Linked DNA regions of Saccharomyces cerevisiae S288C. Changing the gene in region 2 together with the main gene of any one other region gives a genetic interaction. Each region holds a gene or a part of one and is shown on either strand. Other genes may lie near its edges.

What was found. Genes that interact genetically often act in the same process or in processes that back each other up.
Region 1: of SLY41 (region 2) and USO1, extra expression of one rescues a mutant of the other (dosage rescue), as found in Saccharomyces cerevisiae (2 studies listed by BioGRID).

Annotation. Positions count from the first base shown.
Region 1 is NC_001136.10:344,024-352,530, reverse strand, and holds USO1 (Uso1p), read right to left. Parts: upstream 6,867-8,507; coding exon 1,494-6,866; downstream 1-1,493. Other genes in the region: YDL057W (uncharacterized protein), read right to left, coding at 111-1,097; RAD59 (Rad59p), read left to right, coding at 7,578-8,294. UniProt on the Saccharomyces cerevisiae protein: Required for protein transport from the ER to the Golgi complex.
Region 2 is NC_001147.6:891,177-897,005, forward strand, and holds SLY41 (Sly41p), read right to left. Parts: upstream 2,917-5,829; coding exon 1,555-2,916; downstream 1-1,554. Other genes in the region: MCH5 (riboflavin transporter), read right to left, coding at 1-256; U4/U6-U5 snRNP complex subunit SNU66, read right to left, coding at 3,448-5,211; RNA-processing protein NOP58, read right to left, coding at 5,649-5,829. UniProt on the Saccharomyces cerevisiae protein: Able to suppress the functional loss of YPT1. May form a channel. Protein SLY41 is not essential for cell viability. The SLY41 gene is a multicopy suppressor.

The sequences.
Region 1 (8,507 bases), on a different chromosome or scaffold from region 2:
TGCCTCTATTTGATCTTAAACTGCAATGCCGACGACTTTATGCGGGTGATCCCGCAAAGTGACCAAACTCAGCACAAGACTTATCTTAGATTAATATGTAGTTGTATGGTCTATGTATCTTGCAGGTATTCCATAATTAGATCAACTACTAGTGGTGAGTAGTTGACTCTACCCCTCCTTATCGGTAAGCCTAGCGCGTTGGGATCACCTTCAATGCCATAATAATTGTGGTCCGCATTTTCAATAAGTTTCAATGAATGTCTGCCCTCGAAAAGCCTTGCATAATTTGAGGCTGCGCTAATTGGCACTATGTGATCACACATGCCATAGCAGGACATTACTGAACAAGTTTGTGGTATCGTGGCAAATTCCGGAACGCAAACGCCAGCGATACTATAAGTCTCACTTAATGGTATCCAAAAGTCTTTGTATTCGCCATTTCGTGGACCATTCGCCCAAAACCCACCTTCTGCTTGCCAATGCGGGTGCAGTCGTGTGCAGCGTTCAATAAGTCCTCTCCCATCATATCTTCCAGCGCAATTGATCAGGTGAGACGGTAATGGAGATTCAGCTGCATGTAATTTTAGACAGAATTTGAACATGGCAAGAGATCCTCTAGAATGTGCCACAACCACGTCCAGTGATATTGTACTAGTTTTGTACAATTGCACCCTAAGAGACCTGTCAGATACTGTTTGGTATACTGTACTCAAATCTTCAAGATCCTGAGCGAGCGTCCTACCAAGGCCAGGGTCGCAGTTATCTGAGGAATCACCTTGGCCCCTAAAATCTATTCTTAGTACCCAATATCCGAATTCGGCCAGCCTTTTTGCTAGTAAAGTTTGATAAATAGCGTTCTTGTGAGATTGACTTCCGTGTAGTAACAATGCTAGTTTATTTTCCTTGCACAGTAATTTACCATCTTCTTTATTTGCAGTTGATGAATTTCTCTTTTCTGGGTATGAAACTATAGCCGCAATTTGATAAGATAAGCCGTTCATTGTACTTGTAATATATACGAATTTTTCATTTGCTTCCAATTTGATATAGGAGGGGGGAGCACTTTGTATTTGCACAGTGACATGTTTTTTTTCCATTTCGACTTGGTTATTTGACAAATATTCCCTTTTCTGATCTTTTTAGTACTTTCATCACTCCTGTAGATCTGCATCGGCTTTTCGCTATTTTTCCTTGGCTTATTATAATGCGTAAGCGTTTCTCGACAGAGATATTGCGACGCTGAGAAAAAAAAAGGAAGTTCTATGCAAGGGACATTAATGATATATTAGACAATTGTCTACGTGAGCTCACATATTGTTTGCACAAACTATACTTTAATTAGAAGGCGTGAAGTAATGTTAGATGTTATAGAAAATATAACATTTAGTGTCAGTAAAATGTATATATGCATATATAATTACAAAAAAGTAGTGCTGCCCACATAATCAAACAGATCGTTCAAGCGATTTGTTTATGCACATATTTTAACTCTATCATGCCACTTGCCCTTCTTCCTCGTCTTCTTCATCATCTTCTTCATCATCCTCTTCATCCGAACTAATTTCAACGCCCAAATCCTTCAGCTTTGAGCGATATTTGGCGTTTTTCTCATCTAGGTCAGTAACCAAGAGCATCAAGTCATCAATTTCCGAACGATCTTCGTTAGCTTCCTTCAACTTAGAGTTCTCTGCCTTCAAGTTATCCAGTTCTTTAGCCAACTTTTCAATTTCTTGTCTCTGAGAATCGGTTGTCTTTTTAACAGTATCTTCATCCCTTTTCCATGCTTGCTCTTTATTCACCAAATCGTTGTATTTAGTTTCAAGCAACATGGCTTTTTCATCAAGTTGAGACTTTTCGACTTGAAACTTCCTGACTTCGGCCCTACGTTCTTCCTCGGATTTTTGTGCCTTCTGTTGGGTGCTATCTAATTCCTGTTCTAATTCCTTGAGGCGCGAAGTTAGTAATTCTTTTTCTTCTTGATTACTTTTTATTTCGGCTTGCTTGTCTTTGAGTTCACGTTCTATATCTTCTAATTTAGATTTCAAAACTGTATTTTCTTCTGCGTTGATCCTTATTTTTTCTTGTGCGTTATTTAGCTCTTGTTTTACGGTTTCTAGTTCAGAGCCAGATTTTGCTTCGATCCTCAGTTTACTTTTCAGTTCTTCAATATCCTTTTCAGATTCGTTGATTCGGGATATCAAATCTGACTTCTCATGTTGCAAGTTTTTAATATCCTCCTCAGCACTTTTTTTCGACTGTTCTAATTTTTCATCTGATTTCCTTATGGTTTCCATTGAGGATTTCAACTCCGTTTCATTGCTCTCAATCGTACTCTCTAGCTTTTTCATCATTTCTTTAGACTTTTCAAGCTCTGCTTTCTCTTTTGAAGATTCTTCCTCAAGTTTTTTCAGCCCTTCTTCAACTTTAGCTTTGGATTCTTGTGCAGCCCGGAGTTGTTCTTTCAAGCTCTCCAGGTCTCGTTTATTATCTCGCTCTATTGATAGAAGCTTTTCGTCATTTCTAGTTATTTTGTCTTTATATGAAAGAATTTCATCTTGTAAGCTTTTTATTGTGTTTTGTTTCTCTTCTAAAAGCTCATCATTGCTTAAACTAACCTTCTCTAGTTCACTCCTCGTATTATCGATCTCTTTGGCTTTTAATTCGTTTTCATTTTGTAGCCTAATTAATTCATCTTCCAAAGTATTGATCTTTTCAGAATATTCTTGTGTAATTGTTGAAGATCCTTCATTAAGTAGCTTTCTTTCCTTTTCGAAGGCCTGATTTTTGATTTGTATTTCATTTTTCAATTTTTCCAATTGCTCCTCTGCATTTTTTCTTTCCTCAGAAGATGTCTTCTTCAATCTAGACAACTCAGATTCTGATTTCTCCTTGGCCTTAGATAAATTAGTGATCTTTTCCAATTGAATTTTTAGTTCAGTCGTTTTAGCATCTAGTTCTTCTTTTATCTTCTCCGATTCCTTCTGTAGCTCCAAATATTTAGAGTTCTTATCTTCTGAGGCCTTGAGTTTGTCTTCCAATTCACTAACTTCCTTTTCTTTAAAGTTACATTCGTCTTGTAATTCTTTAATTTTTACCGTTTCTGATTCTACACTTTTGATTGACTCCAATAAACTGGCTTCGTTCGTTTCGTTCTTCTTTTTCAGCTCTTTAATTTGCAAATTTAAGGCATCAATCTCTGACTTTTTCAAATTTGATTGTTCCTCTGAAGTGCTCTTCATTGCTTTAACTTCGCCCTCCAGTTCGTCATTTTTTTTCTTAATTGATTCATTTTCTTGTTGAGTGGAAGTAATCTCATCATTTAATTGAGATATTTCCTCGTTATATTGCCTTTCCTTGTTGGCAATTTGCTCCTCGTACTTCTTCAACTGAGCTGCTAAATCTTCATGCTCTTTTTCTAATGATTCTAAATTGGCACGTAGGCTGTTGAGTTGCTGTTTGGTTTCAGTGGCCTCCTTCTCGAGTTGAATTTTCTCTTCTTTTAAATGCTCCTCGTTTTCTTTAACTTCTTTCAAAGCTTTCTCTGAAGTTTCTAGTTTTGTTTCAAGTTCATTTTTGAGATTTTTATAAGCTGCTAACTCGGCTTCCAGCTCTTCCCTAGTTTTAGTCAATTCTGAGATTTTATTCACGTTTTCATCGTTTGCTGTTGTCGCCGTTTCTAATTTTTCTTTCAAGAGACTAATCTGGGACTCATATTCATCTTTTGAAGAATCGGATTTTGAGATAATTTCCTCCTTCGTTTGTTCTAAGTCAGAGATGGTTTTTTTTAGTTGTTCGATATTTTTTTCTATACTGCCTCTTTCTATTTGAAAATTTTCTTTTTCCTGTGACATAGAATCAATTTTATTTTGCAAATTAGACAATTGTATGCTGCTTTCGTTTTTTGACTCTTCTACAGCTTTTATTAGAGACTCATTTTCAGCTTGCATATCCTTATAGTTATTTGCTAAGGATTTCAATTTTTCTGTTAGTTTCGCTACTAGATTGTCATGACTCTGAAAGCGGGATTTGTACTCAACAAGTTCCTTCGAAATATGTTCCTTTTCTTTTGATAAATTATTACATTGAATTTTCATTTCTTCCAGATTTTCATTGATAGCTTTTATTTCAGTAATTTTTGCCGCAATATCTTCTTTTAGTGATTTAGTCTCTTTCTGATGGTTGACATTGCTTTTATCTTTTTCCTTCTGTAAATTTTTACAATTCTCCTCAACTGCTTGCATCTCTCTACTCAGAGCGAATAAATCTTTACCCATTTTGTTTATACCATCTTCTGCCTTTTTCTTTTGAGACAAAATAGTTTCAAGTCCTTTTTCTAAAGTTTTGATAGAGTCTTCTTGTTTGTGGATTGTGCTTTTGTACTCCAGTAAAGCAGTTTGATTTTCTTTGTCCTTAGTTTCCAGTACATCTCTCAGTTGCGTCATTTCATCCAAGGAATCTCTGACGTTCTTCAATTCAGTTTCCAAAATGGAAAAGTTTTCTTTCAACGAAGAATGTGAGGAATTCAAAATTTGGTATTTCTCATCCAACTCTTTGTGTTCATTAGTCAACGCAATCAATTTTTCGGTGAGGTTCTCATGGGTGCTTTCCGTTTCTGTTTGCAAAGAAGTTATCTCACCCTTCAATTTTGTACATTGCCTCTGTAATTTTTCGACTTCTTCGAAAGATATTTTATTGATTGGCTCTTCGTCAGGGTCGTGAGACAATGCAGTTCTGATCCTGTATATGTTTTCATTAAATAACTGTATGAAGTAAGTGCTGAAATAAACTTTTGGTAAACCAGTTTCATCAAGCTCCGGAGTTAGTATACTGTCTTCATTCATATCAACTTTTGAGAAATATGAATCTTTTTTAAATTGTTTGATTCGAGAAGCATAATTGTCTTTTCCCAAAGTTTTAGTGATGAATTCGAAGTATTCCTTTCTTGGGAATGGAGATTCTTTCGAGGAAAACTCGTATGCCACACCTAGTAACATTGTTACAAGGCATTTGATAGTAACGTCTTCATCTTGAATTTGGTAAGAGAAGGAAAGCAAGGATTTAATCACGGATTTATCCGAAAGAAAATCGTTCGTGGCCTTAAAGTCGCCAAAGAGCCAATATATTAGGAACGTTAAGTAGGAAATAGGAATTCTTATGTCAGCAGCAGTAAGGGAAGTAGTTAGCAATTCACTTATTGTTTGAATTGCCTTTAAGGGTTCTTCGTCTTCGAGATCGTTACCGGTGGTAACATTTCTTGTTATTTCACGTAGTTCTTCGCTATATTTGTGATCCTGTTGGAAAAAAAACATAAAAATATCAGTTGTGAAGAATAATTTAAAAGGGTTCAGATTCAATTCTGCGTCATAATTTAACAGGACTTCGAATAGATTTGCCTTGAAAGAACCTTCATATTCAGTGCCATCCTTCCCGTCGGTATCTTTATCTGAATCACTTTCTTTATCAGATTTGTTAGAACCACCATTTTCTTTAGCATTGTCGCCGACATTATTTGTTGAATTATTACACAATTGGACTTGTTTTAGTAAAAAATCTCTTTGAAGATCAAAATTATCCATGAAATAAGCCTTTAATAGTCTAGAACACGCAACTCTTGTATCAAACGTGTGAACGGAGTTGGCATAGAGCATCCAATTTATCAAGATGCTGACTACAGGAATTAATTTAATTGGACCACCGTTTGCAGTAGAGTTTACAGGTAATGAAGGATCGAAATATGGAACATCGATCTTACTAAACTCTAGCTGTGCATGTTCATTACTTCTAACCATGTTTGCGGCAGTCAAAAGAGCAACCGGTCTAACTTTTTTTGGGATATTATGAAAGAATGCAAGTCGCAACACAACCATTAATACGCTTGAGTCAAGCAACGCATTTTGATGCTTAGTGGTGACAGTATTTCCTGGCTCTACTGTTAGGCTGACGATATCTAAAGCTGTATTGATATTAACTATCCTTTGATCATTCCAAAAAAAAACTTCATCTTGAGATATTGGTTCACTCAAAAGGTGTGCCAGTTTTGGCAAGTTTCCTGTCTCAAGGAATAAAGTTTGATTAGAAGTGTTATACTTCAGGATGTTATTGATCAACGATAAACAATCATTGACGACGAGAGAGCCTCTTAACCCACCTTCTTCTTCGATGATGGAAAAGAGCCTTTCAAAAATGTTTTCAAAAGCAACCAATTTTTGAACGTGAGGTGAATCGTTCACTACTGCCATTAATAATAAAATAGCTTCATCCCTGATGGGCTCATGCATGTCATCTAGGAGTGAGACCATTGTGGATATGCTCGTTGGAAGTGAAATCAAAGCACTTCTCGCCTTCAACGGCCTCGTGGCCATCACTGCCTCTAGTAATTGAATTGTGTACAATCTAATATGGAAATTATCGATTTCCCAAAATTCAACAAGTAGGTGAATTAAATCTTCAGACTGCGTCAAAGCATCAGCAATCCATAACGAGAACTGATCTACTTGTTCCTTTTCTTGCTTCATCACCAATGGTGAGGGATACTTGCCATTCTGCAACCGCGATTGTTGAGAAATCCAACCTCTAGTTAAGTCGTCATGGCCATCGCCTCTGATGAAAAGAATCAAAATTGTTTCTAATATAGCCTTTACCGAATCTTCATCCATATAATCACGTTTCAAAGTATTGAGCAACGGTTTTAGCCCGGATGCAATCACTGATTCTCTATACTGCCGGCTAAATGCCTTTAATCCCAGCACAGCGGATCTCCTATCGCTAATCAAAGTGGAGTTCTCAACTCGATCGCACAACGTCGGAATGGTTTCATCCACAGATTGAATTTTTGGTTGCTGTATCAGTCCTTGAATGATGTCCATTCTTGATAGGAGGGTTGTTATAGATATTAATCACTCGAAGTCGTGAACAAGAATTGTCTTCTCTCCAGTATTCAGTCTCTGTGATGTCTAAACCCTGTTAATGTGCAAGGTCTATTTTTTTCGTAAGAACCACGCGCTTTAGGCTTTATTTCTGGTAATAATAGCAAGAAATAAGAACAGACAGTTGCAAATCTAAACGACTGTCCAAACGAAAGTATCAAGTTCGCTAAATTTACTTCGAAGACAGAAGCCAGTAAATTTTGTTTTCTTCATGGAAATAGTTTCCAAAAAGTTCTTAGTAATTACCATATGTTCTTGTATGTGGCGCTGCGAAAGAAAGGTTAGCCGACCGGCATCACCCATAATTGTATAATATAGCAATGAAGCAACTTGTTGAAGTTTTCTTTAAAGTACTATAGTATTGAATAATATCATGTTCACTTGATAAAATTGGGTATTTTATTGACCATTATATCGCGTTGGACACTAATGTCTTTCAAGTTGGTGTCACGTCACGTGCTTTTCAATGTACTGGGGCAAATTGATTAGAGGAAGCCACAGTTTGGCAAGGGCAGATATGATAGGAAGCAGTAACGGCAAGGAAGGATAAGAACATCATTGAGGGAGTCTGTGGCAGTTTAGCACATGCTTTGGACCATTAAAGGGTTACGTAGAGGAGAAGAGCATATTTCAGGATAAACAGACAAAATAATGACGATACAAGCGAAGCCCAGTTCGAGCATATCGTATGATTCGACTACATACGGCACAGCACCGGGCTTGGATATAAAAGAGTTCCAAATCATCGAAGATTGGAATGGAAGACCTGCCAGCGCTTGGTCGGTGCAGAGGATTGGGCTTCTACAGTCCAAGATCGAAAGGTACACGTACAATATTTACCACAATAATAAATATGGGAAGCACAACTTATCTAAGCTGATACCAGGGCATGCTCTCATTCAGTTCGCTAATGAAACATTCGGGTATGATGGTTGGCGAATGGATGTTATAGATGTTGAGGCCCGGGAGTGCCAGCCCTTCACCGCAGTAAATAATGGAGAAAACACCAACACTAGTGAGGTCAAGTATACAGTTGTGGCAGAAGCCCAAGTAAAGGTTACCTTAAAGGATGGCACCAACACACAGTGTGGTGGGCTAGGTAGAATTACTTTGTCCTCGAGAGGTGAATGTTATAACAGGTCGAAAAAAGAGGCTGTAGGCGATGCGTTAAAGAAGGCGTTATTGAGCTTTGAAAAAATCATACTCGATTATGAGACTAAGATTACAAATAATTACTATGTCGATGGCTTGTATGGCTCAAAAAAAATTAAAAATGAAGCTAACACCAATTACAACTTATTGTCAGCGACTAATAGCAAGCCGACTTTTATCAAATTGGAGGATGCTAAAGGCACGCATATCAAATAAAAAAAAAAAGAAAGAAAAAGGGCACAAGTAGCAAATTTATTTTGCTTGATAAAAAGTCATAATTTTCACATAATGCATTAATACCTCTACAAAATAAGTGGCATTTGTATTTGATGCGAACGGAACAGGTATCGACTTACCTTTATCAACAGTATCGTTGATACTATTTTATTAGCATTATATTATACAAATAGATCTCACGTACTTATATAT
Region 2 (5,829 bases):
TGTCGTGCGTGCTCGAGGTATTTTCACCCCAATGTGGTTGGCTTTCAATGTCAGTTCCTTTATTTACTTCCTTCTTGGTATACACCTTTGCCGACACCGACGTTGACGCGTAAGAGGCAGTAGTCTCTAATGACTCTAAATCATCAGCTTCTGGATCATAATGTATGCTATCCTCATCTAAATCAGGTTGCCGCAGTTGGTTGGTTTGTTCTTCTGGAACTATAGTGTCTTTAGGCGTTAAACTGTCTGAGCTCATTATTTTTCTTTTTAATCTATAGTAAAATCAGAGCTTTTTAATCGATAGTATGCCCCCGTGATCTTAGTTATTCAGATCTTAGTATGTTTTTACAGATATAACCTATCCTTCACTAACTTTGAAGAGAGAATTGCTATTTGAGAATTTCCAAACGTACATCAAGCAGTTTATATATCTAGTCCCCGTAACTACTGGGAGATCTAACCAAATAGCTTCTTTATTATATTCATTTCTCTGAGCAAAATAGATATTTTTGAAAAATTTTCCTCTAGTTTCTTTTCAGAGATGTCTCTCTATTATTAGCCTCATACAATACCGCCTAGGGCGATTCAGCAGAACAGTAATTATTCCGCTGTATTTCTTTTTCAGGTGCCTCAAACGTCTATAGAACAGCGCGCAGCAGGTTGAGAAAAATGTCAAAAATTCGATCCTTTCCTATCTTTTCTTTTTCGGACGCCAAAGCGCAGTATTCAACCGACGATGTTCGGGAAGCCACCCCCGAGATCATAATAACAGGTGCGTTGTGACTCTATTGTTAACACGAGGGAAAAGATGGAATAATTTTGGAGAAACACAATGTCGTTCTAGCGGGAAAAAAGGGCAAAACCAAAAAACACGGAGTCTGTCCAATATTAATTTGGTTAAAGCAGTTCGTATAACCAAACTTTATTGGCATTGTCCGTCGACTAGTCTATTTTTATTTCTCTCAACCTTTCGAGTACTTGGAAAAAGGAGTAGATCCGCTTTCAGCAATCGAAGCAATAGGCATTAGGGGTAGAGCAATCCTCAAAATCCTTGTGCCTCGACTGTGGGTTCTAGTATGATCGCTATTTTTTCTTATTCTTTCCTAGTTAAAGCAATAGTTGTTCGTTCTATAAGTTTTTCCGCGAGATCGTGGAAATACCTTAAAAAAGACGCGTGTATGGCTCCTGCATGCGAATCTTCTCTTTTGCTTTGTAATCGCATGTGAGATAATCAAGGGATTGTAGCCATTGTTTTCGAAAAATAATAAAATGACCGCACTTTATCCTCCACGGAGCGGAAGGCCATTCCCGTACGCATATTAATGTAAATGAGATAAATAACCAAATAAGTACCGCCACATCGGATTTTTAACCTTGATATGGTGCGGGGGTGGGGTAACAGTTTAGGATCTTGAAGTAATGCTAGCAACAGAGGTAGTAGCAGTAAATAAGATAAAAAAGACCTTCGAGGGTTTTTTTTTTGATTATATATTTGATATAGTACTAAGTGTCCTACCTTGAATGATGGTTTGTACTCAATAGTATTACTTCATATTATGCCTGACGTCCATCTTTTTTGGAAAGCCCCCATTTGTCATAACCGTACAATCCGGCAATTGTCAAGATAACACCAAACACCTGAAAAAAATTTAACTTTGTTTCCCAAAAGAGTGCCACGGATATAACAACAATCCTCTTCATGATGTTTGCTACCGAATAATTAATGGAAGATAGTAAACCGATCAACTGGAAAGCAAGCATTGCTTGGAAAAAATGGGCTATTCCATGAATCGCTACAAGGGCTACTGTTTCTAGCGTTAAATCGTTGATAACGCTACCGCCATGCATTAATTCGCCGGTTAAAAAAGGTAATAGGGTTAAAGAAAACCCAATGCAGGAGCAGTAGAACAATATGGTAATCTTATCCACTTGCAATGGAGAAAATCTTGTTTTGTCTAGACTCGGTTGCCCTTCCTTCGACGTGACGTCATCCGTAGAAGAAGACGGCAGTATTCCTACCTTCCTTCTGATGGTTAAAATATTCTTTGCAAAAATATTCTGTGCTACAAATATTATCATGGAAATAAAGGCAAAAAGCAACCCGATTAATGAAGATCCGCTTTTGTTATCTGAAGCCCTCTTACTGCCATGTGTTGACCAGCAAGTAGTCATAACGCCAAAAATTAAAAGTAACAAGGTATAATAAGTCATGGAATTGTAATAACGATGTTCGAAAAATTTATAGTAGCCAACTGTTATTATTGGGGATAATGCCTTCACGGAATGCACTAGTGATACTGGTATCATAGATACCGCCTTGTGCGATGTGATATGACCAATAAATTGGAATATTCCCATAGGGAAAGTGGTCATCAAAACCAGCTTTGAGGGAACTAAAAACTTGTGCAGGATAGAACTCCTGAAATTGCCATCGAGATATTCAGGAAGGATACCGTCAGGGAAACTATTGAGTGCCTTTGAAAACTTCGTATGCTTCAAACGAGGTAGTCGGAATAAATTTACGATGGAAGCAAATCCAACACATAGAACAGCACTAACAAGAAATTGCAATTCTGTGAGAGCTATGGGATGGTTGAAAGTTCTTAAAATGGCTTTAGATAGGTTACTTGAAATAGATGACGTGACGTACCATATAGAACAAATAATGGTTATTCTTAGGTCAACTTCAGGTAAGTACCCTTGTATATTACTAGGAAATAGTTGCGTGAATCTTTTTTTAAGGCTAGTAATATCATATCCAAAGACTTGATTACTGAATGTCTCCTTACTGTATTCTTTTTTTTGGTGTTGGAACCCCCCACGTGGTGGTTCTGGTATTTGATACAGTGATGGATCAAAGAGGTTTTTATGAACAGAATTACGTCGTTTGATCGCTGTACTTTGCGTTTGAATCATGTTAGGCCGGTATTGTTTCTCCTTTATAAAAACGAATGGCTCCTTATTAAACACTTTTATCGTCAATCCACTTACTCTCTAAATATCGTAAGCTTTGCATATATAAGCATATAATAAAAATAGTTGGTATATGCTGCACGTGTAGTCTAATGTTCTTTTCTTTTTTTTCTTTATTCTTTTTTCTCCTCTTTATGAATACAGATATTCAATTTTTTGAATATCTGATTGTTTTTATTTTCATTTCAATTTTTTTTTTTTTTCAATTTTTTTTATCCGATCGTTGCGCCAAGCTTCTATCGCTTAAAACAATGACACTTCGCTGTGAAATGACACAATGGCTTGAGATTCAGGCACAACGCAAAAGGTCTTTACAAATGTATATCACAGAATATTAATGTTTGAAAAGTACTTCCGAATTCAAGGCCACCACGTAGCCTTATACACCAAATACAATTATACACAGGTTTCAAACTTGAGAAAAACAAGATATTGAATATTAAAAGCTGGGGCTAGTAGAATTTGCTGATTAGGTTAATTGTCATCAAATTCAAACAAACTACCATTTTCAGGGGTATTTTTCCTTGCTTCAATTCTGGATTTCATTTTTGCTCTCTTTTTCTTGTTGCTTTTTGTACCATGAAATTTCTGTGACAGTTTTTTATATGCCTCCTTAGTAGTCAGTCGATTTCCCTTTTCGTCTCTGTAAACCAGTTTTATGTCAGGATCATAATGATCTTGTCTTTTTGAATGAGTATTTGCATTGGAAGAGTCACTAGATGTGAATTGTTCCAGTCCGTGTAGCTTATCTTTTGTATAAGTGCCAGTGCCCGTATGCTCTTTATTTCGGACATCCCTTCGAAGTGATTCACTATTATTAACATCCTTTCCTGGTTTCAAATCGACGTCTCCTGTGGTGAAAACACTCTTTTTCCGAAGATATCCTAGTGTTGATGCAAGACCAGAAAAAAAGTTCGGTGCATTTTCAGCATCTCCCTCGTAGTTTGGTTCATTATTAACTGCTTCAGTCAGTGTATTGTTTCCACTCCCTTCCTTAGTATGTCCATTGGTAACATCTCCGATATTTTTCTCTCCTTCACCATGCACTTTCACTTTATTCTCAGTAGCACTTCGTTCGGAGAGACTGGTATCCAAAGTATTTAAAAAAGTTACCTTTTCGTCGACGACAATACTGTTGGAAATTTCACGCATTTTCAAAATGCTTTCAGTGCGTCGCTTCTCTTCGTCTCTTGCCTTTTCAATTTCTCTAGCGAGGTCCTCTGGCCCTTTCAATTCATTGTTTGAGCTTGTTCTGGGATTTATTATGGTGACTGGCTGTTCTTCTTCCATCCAGGATAAACTTTCATCTTCATCTACTAACTTAACAATTTCCATCTTATCAGTAATTTTTGACTTCCTAGCTTTAGTAGATCTTGGGTCCTTGATCTTACGTTTTTTAATTTTTAAAGGTTTAAAGTCTCCACCATCTTCATCTGACATATTATTTGCGCTATCGAAATTCACTTTAACTTTTCCCGTTGGTGGTTTTGCTGATATAGTATTCGGTGCCTTCATAACACCCTGTTCTGCTCCGATGATTAGATGTGTAGTTGTAATTGAGTGTTTCTCTCCTTCTTCTTCTTCTTCAATATCTAAGCTAGATACATTTAAAATTTTTTTTTTTTGTCTTCTATCTTTATTCATTTGTCGTAATCGTAGTTTCTCTCTATCAGCGTTTTCCTCGGCAGCTTTCACATTCTCTAACACTTCGGTAGAATCAGTATCATCAAAAATACTGCTCTCTTTCAAAGTTAGAATCGTATCTTTCTTTGGGCTAAGCGCCTCGATATTATATGATACTTGAACATTATGCAGATCAATATTTTCGTCTTCCTTCGTGGCGCCTTTTCTTGGCAATGTGCTGGAACGTTTGGATTCATGTGAGGAAGGAATTGCATCCATGTTTTCTAGCCATGAACTGTCGTCATTTACATTAGTTTCTTCGAGAAGGTGCGCCATTCGTAAAGGAGCGTTCGCCTTTTTTTGAAACTTTGTTATCTTCTCTCGAAGTTCATCGATTTTGGATGTGTTATGTACATTAGGGGGAGAAGAATTGAAATTTTGTTGGGGTGGGATAAGTTTTAGGCCAAGGGACGCCCTCAACTCATTCGTCTCTTCGATTGACAAAGACTCTTTATGGTCTGTATTCTTTTCTTGAAAAACTGGAATAGGTTTCATACCCAGCTTTTCCCTTATTTCATTTGTCTCCTCAATAGAAAGGTTTTCCGTTTTGTTCATAAATTAATTAAGGGTTGATGTGATGATTGCCTTTTTATTAATATCAAATAGTAACGATTGCACCATCTCATCCTTTGCTCACTTTCAAAAATTTTGTATATCTTTTTCGTCCCGCGAATAATTTTAAGTTGCGCAGTTCACGATATGAATACCTATAACTGCTAATGGTACAAATTTTTTAAAGGTTAAACAAAACTTTTAATGATATAAAGTACCTAAAACTATGTAAACATAAATTATGTATACTATTTCAAATATATCACCTAAAAAAAATAATAAGTTCAATTCAATATGGGCGTACAGCACTAATTTACAGATTATGGAATAAAATATGAAATGAGAAATAGGTTAAGCATTGGATAATTATAGAAAATTTTCTAAATCCAAATAAAAGGGAACGCGAGGGGTCACTAATTATTAAAATGTAAAATGCATCCTTATTTCTTCTCTTTCTTCTCTTTCTTGGACTTCTTTTCCTTCTTCTCTTTCTTCTCTTTCTTCTCCTTCTTTTCCTTCTTTTCCTTCTTTTCCTTCTTGTCCTTCTTTTCCTTCTTAGCTTTTTTAGAATCCTTGGAATCTTCATCATCGTCTCTCTTTCTCTTCTTTTCTTTCTTTTCT